2 linked regions of the Callithrix jacchus genome follow. The protein of the gene in region 2 interacts with the protein of the main gene of each other region in a pairwise test. Links are inferred from orthologs where the notes say so. Each region holds a gene or a part of one and is shown on either strand. Other genes may lie near its edges.

What was found.
Region 1: the proteins of MYOD1 (region 2) and ID2 interact in a two-hybrid assay, tested with the Homo sapiens proteins (2 studies listed by BioGRID). The link is inferred for Callithrix jacchus from reciprocal best matches to the Homo sapiens genes MYOD1 and ID2.

The regions. Positions count from the first base shown.
Region 1 is NC_133515.1:106,259,849-106,264,219, forward strand, and holds ID2 (DNA-binding protein inhibitor ID-2), read right to left. Parts: upstream 2,830-4,371; 5' UTR 2,720-2,829; coding exon 2,372-2,719; intron 2,052-2,371; coding exon 1,995-2,051; 3' UTR 1,988-1,994; intron 1,203-1,987; 3' UTR 443-1,202; downstream 1-442. UniProt on the Homo sapiens protein: Transcriptional regulator (lacking a basic DNA binding domain) which negatively regulates the basic helix-loop-helix (bHLH) transcription factors by forming heterodimers and inhibiting their DNA binding and transcriptional activity.
Region 2 is NC_133511.1:83,727,739-83,732,272, reverse strand, and holds the start of MYOD1 (myoblast determination protein 1), read right to left. Parts: upstream 2,861-4,534; 5' UTR 2,630-2,860; intron 2,447-2,629; 5' UTR 2,327-2,446; intron 1,872-2,326; 5' UTR 1,784-1,871; coding exon 1,154-1,783; intron 667-1,153; coding exon 588-666; intron 303-587; coding exon 52-302; 3' UTR 1-51. UniProt on the Homo sapiens protein: Acts as a transcriptional activator that promotes transcription of muscle-specific target genes and plays a role in muscle differentiation. Together with MYF5 and MYOG, co-occupies muscle-specific gene promoter core region during myogenesis.

The sequences.
Region 1 (4,371 bases), on a different chromosome or scaffold from region 2:
TCTGAATTCTGTGCAGCCTCTTTTCTTCTCCCGATTTACTTTCATTTACTCCAGAGAACCGTTTTAATGCCCAGACAGGTAGCCCTGCCACACACACTCCCAGTACTCACAACCACACCTCATTCTTGGCTTTAAACTCAGCCCTAAAGCACAGAACCAAGCTTTCCCTTGAGGACTCAAGAGGCACTTCTGTGCCCAAAGCCTCCCCAGTCCCTGTGAACTCAGCCCTCTGCCTCACCACACATCTGATAAGGAGATTCTCTGTACACAAGCAAAGGCTTCAGGGGTGGTGGTGGGCGGGGGGATGAGGGAGAAGGGGATAAAGAAAACTGTGTGTGTGTGTGTGTGTGTGTGTGTGAGAGAGAGAGAGAGAGAGAGAGAGAGAGAGAGAGAGAGGAGGGAATGCCAGAGAGATCTTAAAAACCACTCGGAATTCAGGTACTGACTTCAGACATGTTTTATTATAATCGTATACAGTCTACATAAATTTGAACTTGTATTTATTTGGGTTCAGTTATAACATAGCATAATAAAAATCAAAGCACTGGTCCTCTGAAATAAAGCAGGCAATCACCATTCAATAAACACACTGATTTATTTTGTATAAAAGGGTTAAGTTTACAACTAAACTTTTATAAAAAGTTTAGCAAGAATAAGTACATCATTACACTTTTTAATGCAGAAATAGACATCTCTGCCACTATACAAGAAAACTCTAATTAAAGAGTTCACAAGGTTTCACTCAATAGATATATTTATATATAAATATATACACAGCATTCAGTAGGCTTGTGTCAAAAAGGTAATTTCTGACCAAAAGACTTCATTTAAGTGACTGAATACTGGATCCTTCTGCTATTCACGCTCCACCTTTGAAAAAAGGCAAAGTCTGCTTAGATTGGGCAATTCCTTGTGATTTTAACGTTTTCGCTCCCCATGGTGGGAATAGTATATAAAGAAAACCTTCCGACTGCAGAAAGGGCATTTAAAAGTCTTTTTCATAAATAACGAATATCACAGTCCAGGTCAGAGAACACCCTGGGAAGATGATCATTCTTAGTTTTCCTTCCATTTTTTTTTTTTCTTTTTAAAAAGGTCCATTCAAGTTGTCCTCCTTGCGAAATGGTTGAAAAATAAGTTCAGCACTTAAAAGATTCTGTGGATGTGTTGTTGTTGTGCAAAGAAAAAGAAGCCATGAACACCTGCAAAGGATTGGGAGAGAAAGGCACGTTTGAGAGAATGCAACCGAAGGGCAGAGGCGGGCGGACTGGCGCCGGGAGGAAGCCGCAGTTTGAACATTTAACCAAACACTCAAAGATTGGGCAAACCCTGGCGTCCAGATGCAGCACACACACTCGCCTCGACAGCGCAAATTAAACATTAAAATAGCAGAGACTCAAGGGAAAAACTTCCCAACTCAATCTCCTATTTGGATCTCCAACAGCAGTGCTACAGGCGCCAGTCTGCTTCTTGTAACAATTATTTGATTGAAAACAGCCCTTTAGTTAACAGATAGGGAAGTCTGGGATCCCACATCACAGGCTCTAAGGCACAGGGTAGCAATCCTGTGCTAGCCCAGAGAATCCCAGAGGACTCTAGTTTTAGGGAAGGAGGATCACTGTGGAATTTGTGGCGATAAGATTAATTACAGTGGAGGTTAGTACCTCATAGTACCAGAGGAATCGTAGGAAGAGCCAAGGCACCGAATTTGCTACAAAGCCGATACACACGTTCCTCGGCCGCCTTCGTAGTAAGTTATTGGCATCATTTCCTTTTAAAGGAAACGTTCTGTGATCTCGAGTACCCAGAGCTACAGGCTCCTTAACGTCTAGTGAGAATGCAGTACGGTTGACACCGCGAAGTAAGCATGCACTTACCAAATCAGACGTTTCATGGATACACAAGCACCCTCACACAAGCAACACACGCGCGCACGCACACACACGGAGGGGCAGTTTACCCACGGGTGGCACAGGCAAACACTCACCGCATATTCAGCCACACAGTGCCTTGCTGTCATTTGACATTAACTCGGAAGGGAATTCAGACGCCTGGAGAGAAAGGATAAAGGGTACGAGGTTAAGACAATGTTGAGTAGAAAAGGCTTTTTTGTTTTTGAAGTAGTCCACAGACCAGCAAATTCCATTAAACACGTTTATGGTACCAATTCAGATTCAAAGACAGATACATCCACATGTCAGAACTTACTAGCAATTTCACGCACGGCTCAGTCTACAGCAGCGTTTTAAGAAAATAAAGTTAAATCGCTCATGCGAAAGTCACTGTCTGGGCTACGGATCTCCTAGTGACAGCCCAGGCGACCGCGGGAGTGTGCGGCGGCGGCGGGGCGGGGGCCCCGGGCAGGGCTTACCTGCAGGGACAGGATGCTGATATCCGTGTTGAGGGTGGTCAGCGGCGTCCGGGACGTCTGGCTCTGCCCGGGTCTCTGGTGATGCAGGCTGACAATAGTGGGATGCGAGTCCAGGGCGATCTGCAGGTCCAAGATGTAGTCGATGACGTGCTGCAGGATTTCCATCTTGCTCACCTTCTTGTTCTGGGGGATGCTGGGCACCAGCTCCTTGAGCTTGGAGTAGCAGTCGTTCATGTTGTACAGCAGGCTCATCGGGTCGTCCACCGGGGTTTTGCTCCGGGAGATGCCCAGGCTGTGGTCCGACAGGCTGCTTTTCCTAACAGACCTCACGGGACTGAAGGCTTTCATGCTGGCCGCAAGGGAAGGCGAGACCGGGAGGGAGCTGGCTGCCCTGAAGCTCAGGCCGCCGCCGTCGCCTACTGAGCTAGCTGCGCTTGGCTCTGGGCTCGGCTCAGAATGAAGCCCGAGCCCGGCGGGGCGGCTTTTATCAGCACTCGCCGGGGCCACACGCTCGGGCTTCCCTTCGTTCCCATTGGCGGAAGGTGGAGCGTCCATCAAGCCGAGCGGGCGCTTCCATTGGCGGGCGCGGGCGCGGGGCAAGGGCTCGGTTCTTCCGCGTTCGCAGCCAATGCCCGGGGGGTGGGCGGGGCGCGAGCCCAGCTGGGCAGTAAATAGAGTACAGTACAGAAAGCGCGGGGCGAGCGGGGAGAAGGGGAGAAGGAGAGTGGGGGGGAGGAGGGGGAGGAGGAGGAGGAGGGAGGGGGTGGATGGGAGGGGGGAGGAGGAGGGAGAGGAAAGGGGGTAGGAGGAGTAGGAGTGGGGGGGAGGGGGCAGACCCAGGGAGCCTAAATGTACATTCTTAATTCTAATTCTAAGGGCGAGGCAAGACCTTCGCCGTGGGGGTGTTCCCAGACCAAGCCTTGCACACCTTGGAGCTGTCGGCAGCCCTAAAAATCACAGCGACAGGGGCAAGTTCAGCGCCGCAGCGGGGAAGCCTCAGTTCACTGCAACCCCTCGGAGAGAGAGCGTGAGGAAAGATAGAAAGCATTTCAGAAGAAAGTGAAAACGCAAATTAGGTTGCCACTGAAGAGTCACGTTTGTAGAGTGAGTTCGTCTCTTCAGATAAGGAAAAGTTATGTTAACACAAACAAACCACCCACGCACGCATTCGACGACAGGTTTAGTGTGGGCTTTTGCAACCCGGAGCAGCGCGGGAGGCATTACTGTAAGCTCAGGAGAATGAGTTCTTATTGGAAACCATGCCCAGCCTCGCCGGTCGGTCGCTAAGGAGCTCTCCCAGGCAGGGCGCTTTCAGGGTTCCTTTTCAAAAAGGAGGCAGGGCTATTCTAATGATCGTATTAATCGGAAACCATTAGGAGAATTTGCATATTGAAACTACATTTACATACACTGCCCTTGAAAGGCTGCCGGTCTGTGCCCTTCAGAGTAGGTGGCAAAGTAATGTGATTAATTATGTACGAATTGTGATTTCTGGTGTCACATTCCAACACCTAGAGGCGTTCCAAGGTTTTGTGACTGATAGGTGGTCCTAGCCATTGACCGACATCTTCGCACTATTTATGAAAAAAAAAATAAATACTCTGTCATGTATGAGGTTTGGAATTTTTTCAGCACTAGTGCTGAATAGAGGTTCAGGTATTTTTTTTTGGCTGAAAATCTTTAAGAACTCGTTCTTTTAGTCTATTAAAAAGTTTGCAGCCATTTACTCAAATACCTTGTCAATTCTCACATAAGTCTAGCTTATCTAGAATTCTGTCTTGACCACACTGTGTCAGTTTTGTGTTTTGAAAATCATATTTTCTCTAAAAATAAACTAGACAACCCCAGGAAAGGCAATATTCAAATCTTACTTTCTGCCTCAAACTCTACCTCCTCTGCATTTAAGGAAGAGGAAGGGGCAGGCTTAGAGGCCGAAAGGAAAGCTCAATAACGGGGAAATAGTGTTTCTTCCTTCAATTAATGATTAATTTCTCAGCTGG
Region 2 (4,534 bases):
GAGGGACCCTAGGGGCACCATCCCTCGGGCGGGTGTGTGGCCACCCTCCCCTCAGAGCACCTGGTAGATCGGGTTGGGGTTCGCACCCGCAGGGCACTGCGGGGCGTCGTCCGGGGACTGGGTGGGGTCGCCGCTCTCTCCCTCGCTCGGGGCGGCAGCCTCTGGCCCGCGCGGAGGCGACTCCGGGGGCGCCTCGGCCAGCAGGAGTGCGGGCGCCGCAGGGCTCTCGGTGGAGATGCGCTCCACGATGCTGGACAGGCAGTCTAAGCTCGACACCGCGACACTCTTCCCGGGCCTGGGTTCTGCGCGGGGAGGTCTCGGTTAGTAAGCAGGGGTGGGGCCGCGAACAAGCCTCCCACCCCGGGGCCCGGTGCTTTGAGACAGATTGGAAACTGAGGACCTGTCAGAGTCCGGGACGATTGAAAGGAGAGGGAGCTACTTGCTTAGTATTTCATCGCCTGCACCACCTCCCAGAACAGAAGCGTGTGTGAGTGGGGGTGGGGGTGTCCTAGATAGGGGGAAGCCAGGACAGCTCCAAGGAGGACGTGGGGAGAAGGAGAGAGCAGGGCGAAACCCGGAATACCCACCGCTGGGCGCCTCGCTGTAGTAGGCGCCTTCGTAGCAGTTCCGCCGCCGGGCGCCGCTTGGGGGGCCGCTGTAGTCCATCTGCAAACAGCAAGGGCGACTGAGTCAGGCCGGCGGGACGGCGCGGGACCCGAACACCACTCCCTGTACTGCCCCCTCCCTAACTCTAGACTCAGTCTCGAGTTCCCGGCCCAGATCTGTCATGGTTAGGGGATAAGGGTGGGTAGGAGATGAGGTCTGCAACATGTAGAGCCAAACCAAGGGTGGACGGTCACCAAGGGGGCAAAATTCTACATTTTGGAAGTAGGGATAAGTAGAGAAAAAGATCTTCAAGTCCACGCTGCAGTGTTCCAATAGCGCCCCCAATGGGGCGGCTTAAACGCTTGCCCGCACGCTTCCAAAGCAATTAGGCTATCCCGGTGACAGCTGCCCAGGACACAGGGGTCCTCTCTCGGGATGGATCCTGGCCCAAACTTCCAGGAAGGATAGCTCCCTGCCCTCGGAAACGCGTCCCAGATGTCCCAAGCGCCGCCCTCACTTCTACTCCCGCCTGGGGTCCCGGCCTTACCATGCCGTCCGAGCAGTTGGAGCGCGGACTGGACGCGTCAGAGTCGCCGCTGTAGTGCTCTCCGCTGCGGCCTGGGGGCAGAGGGCCTGGCGCGTAGAAGGCGGCTCCGGCGCCAGGGGGCGCGGCGTCCTGGTCCCGCAGCAGAGCCTGCAGGCCCTCGATATAGCGGATGGCGTTGCGCAGGATCTCCACCTTGGGCAACCGCTGATTCGGGTTGCTCGACGTGCAGCGCTTGAGTGTCTCAAAGGCCTCGTTTACTTTGCTCAGGCGGCGCCGCTCGCGCATGGTGGCGGCCTTGCGGCGGTCGGCGTTGGTGGTCTTGCGCTTGCACGCCTTGCAGGCCCACAGTAGGCACCGGCCCGCCTGGTGGTGCCCGCTGGGCGCGCGCACATGCTCGTCCTCACGCTCGCCCGGGGCCGGGTGCGCTGCCGCGGGGAAGTGCGAGTGCTCTTCAGGTTTCAGGAGCGCGCCCACGTGCATCAGGCGCGGGTCCAGGTCCTCGAAGAAGCGCAGGTCCGGGGAGTCGAAACACGGGTCGTCATAGAAGTCGTCCGTTGTGGCAAATGAGCAGAGAGAGCCGTCAGGGCCCGTCAGGTCTACATCGCGGAGCGGTGGTGACAGTAGCTCCATATCCTGGCAGGGACGCGGCACGGTCCTGGCTTCGCCCAACCCAAGCGGGAGGGGGTGACCGGAACTTTCTGCCGCTCGGGAGCACCGGCTGTAGATAGCAAAGGGCTGCAAGTCTGAATGCACACCCAACTGTCCCCACCCCTCCCTGTCCCGTCCCGCCTGATTTGTAGTAAGGAAAGTGGAGGCAGCGCGCTAGGGCTTCCTCACCCCTAGCTGCGCGCCTGGCGCCCTGGGCTATTTATCAGTAGTAGCCTAAACGCCCCGGAGCCCAGGCGGGCAGCTGGGGGCGGGGGAGCCCGAGGCCAATAGAAACACAGCGGGGCGGGGTTTGGGGGGGTCCTCTGGGTGGCCGCAGGGGGCTGCAGAGTGGCCAGCCCGCCCGCCCCTCGACACTGGCGCGCGCGCTCCGTCCCCTACCGGGCAGGGAGGGAGGGAGCGACCGGCAGCCCGGGCGGCTGCACTTGGCTCCCAGGCAGGCCCATTTCAAACCTCTCCAGCACTCGACTGCTGCGTCCGCTGGAAACGTTGGCTGCGCGCACTCACCACTGAGCTGACGTTGAGTACTCCTCTATCCCCTGCTTTGTGGGGGATCCAGGGTTAGAGCGGGTGTAGAAATCAGGTCGCGAGAGATTTGGAGAGAGGCAAGTCACTGGGGGCACAGAGCTGAGAGAGTGAGACGGTGAGAGAGGGACCGAAAGAGACTGAGAGATACGCAGAAAGCAGAAAGCTTAGAGGGTCAGGGGCAGAGAAACGCACGCAGCAACAGGCGGAGAGACCCCGAGAGTTTAAGTGGGCGAGACCACTTAAACGAGTCGTGGAGGCTCTGATACTCCACCAGTTCCCGACCTGGGAGTTGCTCAGGGGCTCTTGGGCCCAGTCCTTCTTCCCTAGAAGCTTGGAAACCCAGCTGCGGCTATGTAGGAATCGGGCATTGCTGCTAAAGCTTCGCGCCAATCTCTCCAAACTCTGATCCTGCGCAGGTTAGGATCTCGTTCATCTCAATCTGCACGTTTCCACAGCAGGGGTGTCCAGTGCCAGGCCTGGGGTCTAGGCTGAGCTGCCTCTTCATCTGGGAAGAAAACTCTTCTGCTCAGGGCTTGGTTCCACCTCACCCGCGGGTGCTGAGTCAAGGAAAGTGCCTTCCGCCAAGGTCGCAAACTTCAGGACCTGGCCTGAGAATCTGACCTCGGAGTGAAGTCTCTGAGAGTTCCGTTTGCAGATCAGTTGAGTCCATATTCCAAGTTTCCCAACTTTGTGATTTTATAGAAGTCGTGTCTCCTTCCTGAGCCTCAGTTTCCAGTTACAGATTTGGGGATGACAGTAATTTCTTGGAGTAATTGCGGTGGGGATGAAAGTCTGAAAAGACCAAGGATATGGAAGCCCTCAGGCGGTGGTGTAGGGTTATGCGAACAACAGGGCTTTCAGAGTTGGATGCTATGTCCTGCAAGCTTACAACTGGTGCATGGCACCAAGCCCAGACAGAGTCGAACACAGTCTCCAGGCCCCAGCTGTGTCTCTTTCCTACAGCCTCACTGGAAAGGCTAGAAACAGGAGGAGGCAACCACCCCATGGGATATGGGATCTCAGCATACCAGCCTCAGCATACTCACCACCCCCATGGGGGCCTCTCAGCCTCTTTCTGAATCTGCAGTTCACACAGTCCTCTGGGCAATCTGGGTAGGAATCTCCATTGACCATACATCCCTGCCTGGATCTCCCCTCTTGGAAACCAGAAGGTTAAGCAGGAGTGATCTTTGTGTCCCACTAACTTCTGAAAGCCATCCTGGCTGGCCCTTCTGGGCCCTGAGATGTCCTCCTTTCCCACCAAACCCAGAGGGCTCTTTTGTGGTCCTACCTTTTTCGCTTCTCTGCTGCTGGTAGTGGTGCTGCAGGTCTCCCTTCATGAAGTGCTCACCCAGCTTTACTCCACAGGACCACCTTTATTTGTGTATTCAGTAATGTCTATGTCATGGAGCAGCAGTGATGGTAACTCCAAATCCTGGCAAAGGCAGAAAAGTCCCGGAAATTCACATATTGTTAAGTATCCATTATATGTCAGGTGCCAGTCCAAGTGTGGGGCTAGAGCAATGAACGAAACCAAGACTCTGCTTACATGGCACTTACACTGTAAATGTAAGCAGGGTGACAGAAAAGGAACTAATAAGGAAGTACGTGATACCAGGATGTTAGAAGCTTTACGAGGAAAAAGCCAGGCAGGGGAACACAGTGATGAAGATTATGGAGTGGATAGGGAAGGCCTCTCTGCTACATTTGAGCAGAGACCTGAATGAAGAGAAGTGGAAACAGATGTCTGGAGATATGCAGGGCCAGATAGAAGGGTAAGCATGTGCAGAGGTCCTGGGACAGGATTGTGTTTGGCAGATTTAAAGTATGGCAAACAGGCTGATATGTCTGCGGCAAGGTGAGTGAAAGGGATAGTGGGAAATGGGTTGAGAAAGAAAAGGGTTGTTTTGTGAGATGGAAAACTACTGGAGGGCTTGAGCAGAAGAGAAGAATGTCACCATCTGACTTAGGTTTTAACAGGCGCATGCTAGTTACTAGAGGGAAAGGGCAGAAGCAGGGAGACCAATTATTAGGCTATTGCAGTAATCCCAGTGAGTGGAGGTGGTGGAAAGTGGTGGTTGAATTCGAGATTTATGTTTTCAAGATGGAGCTAGCAATATTTACTCATGATTGTATGTGGGAAGTGAAATAAGTGAGGAGCTAAGGATGACTCCTGGAAGAATGGAG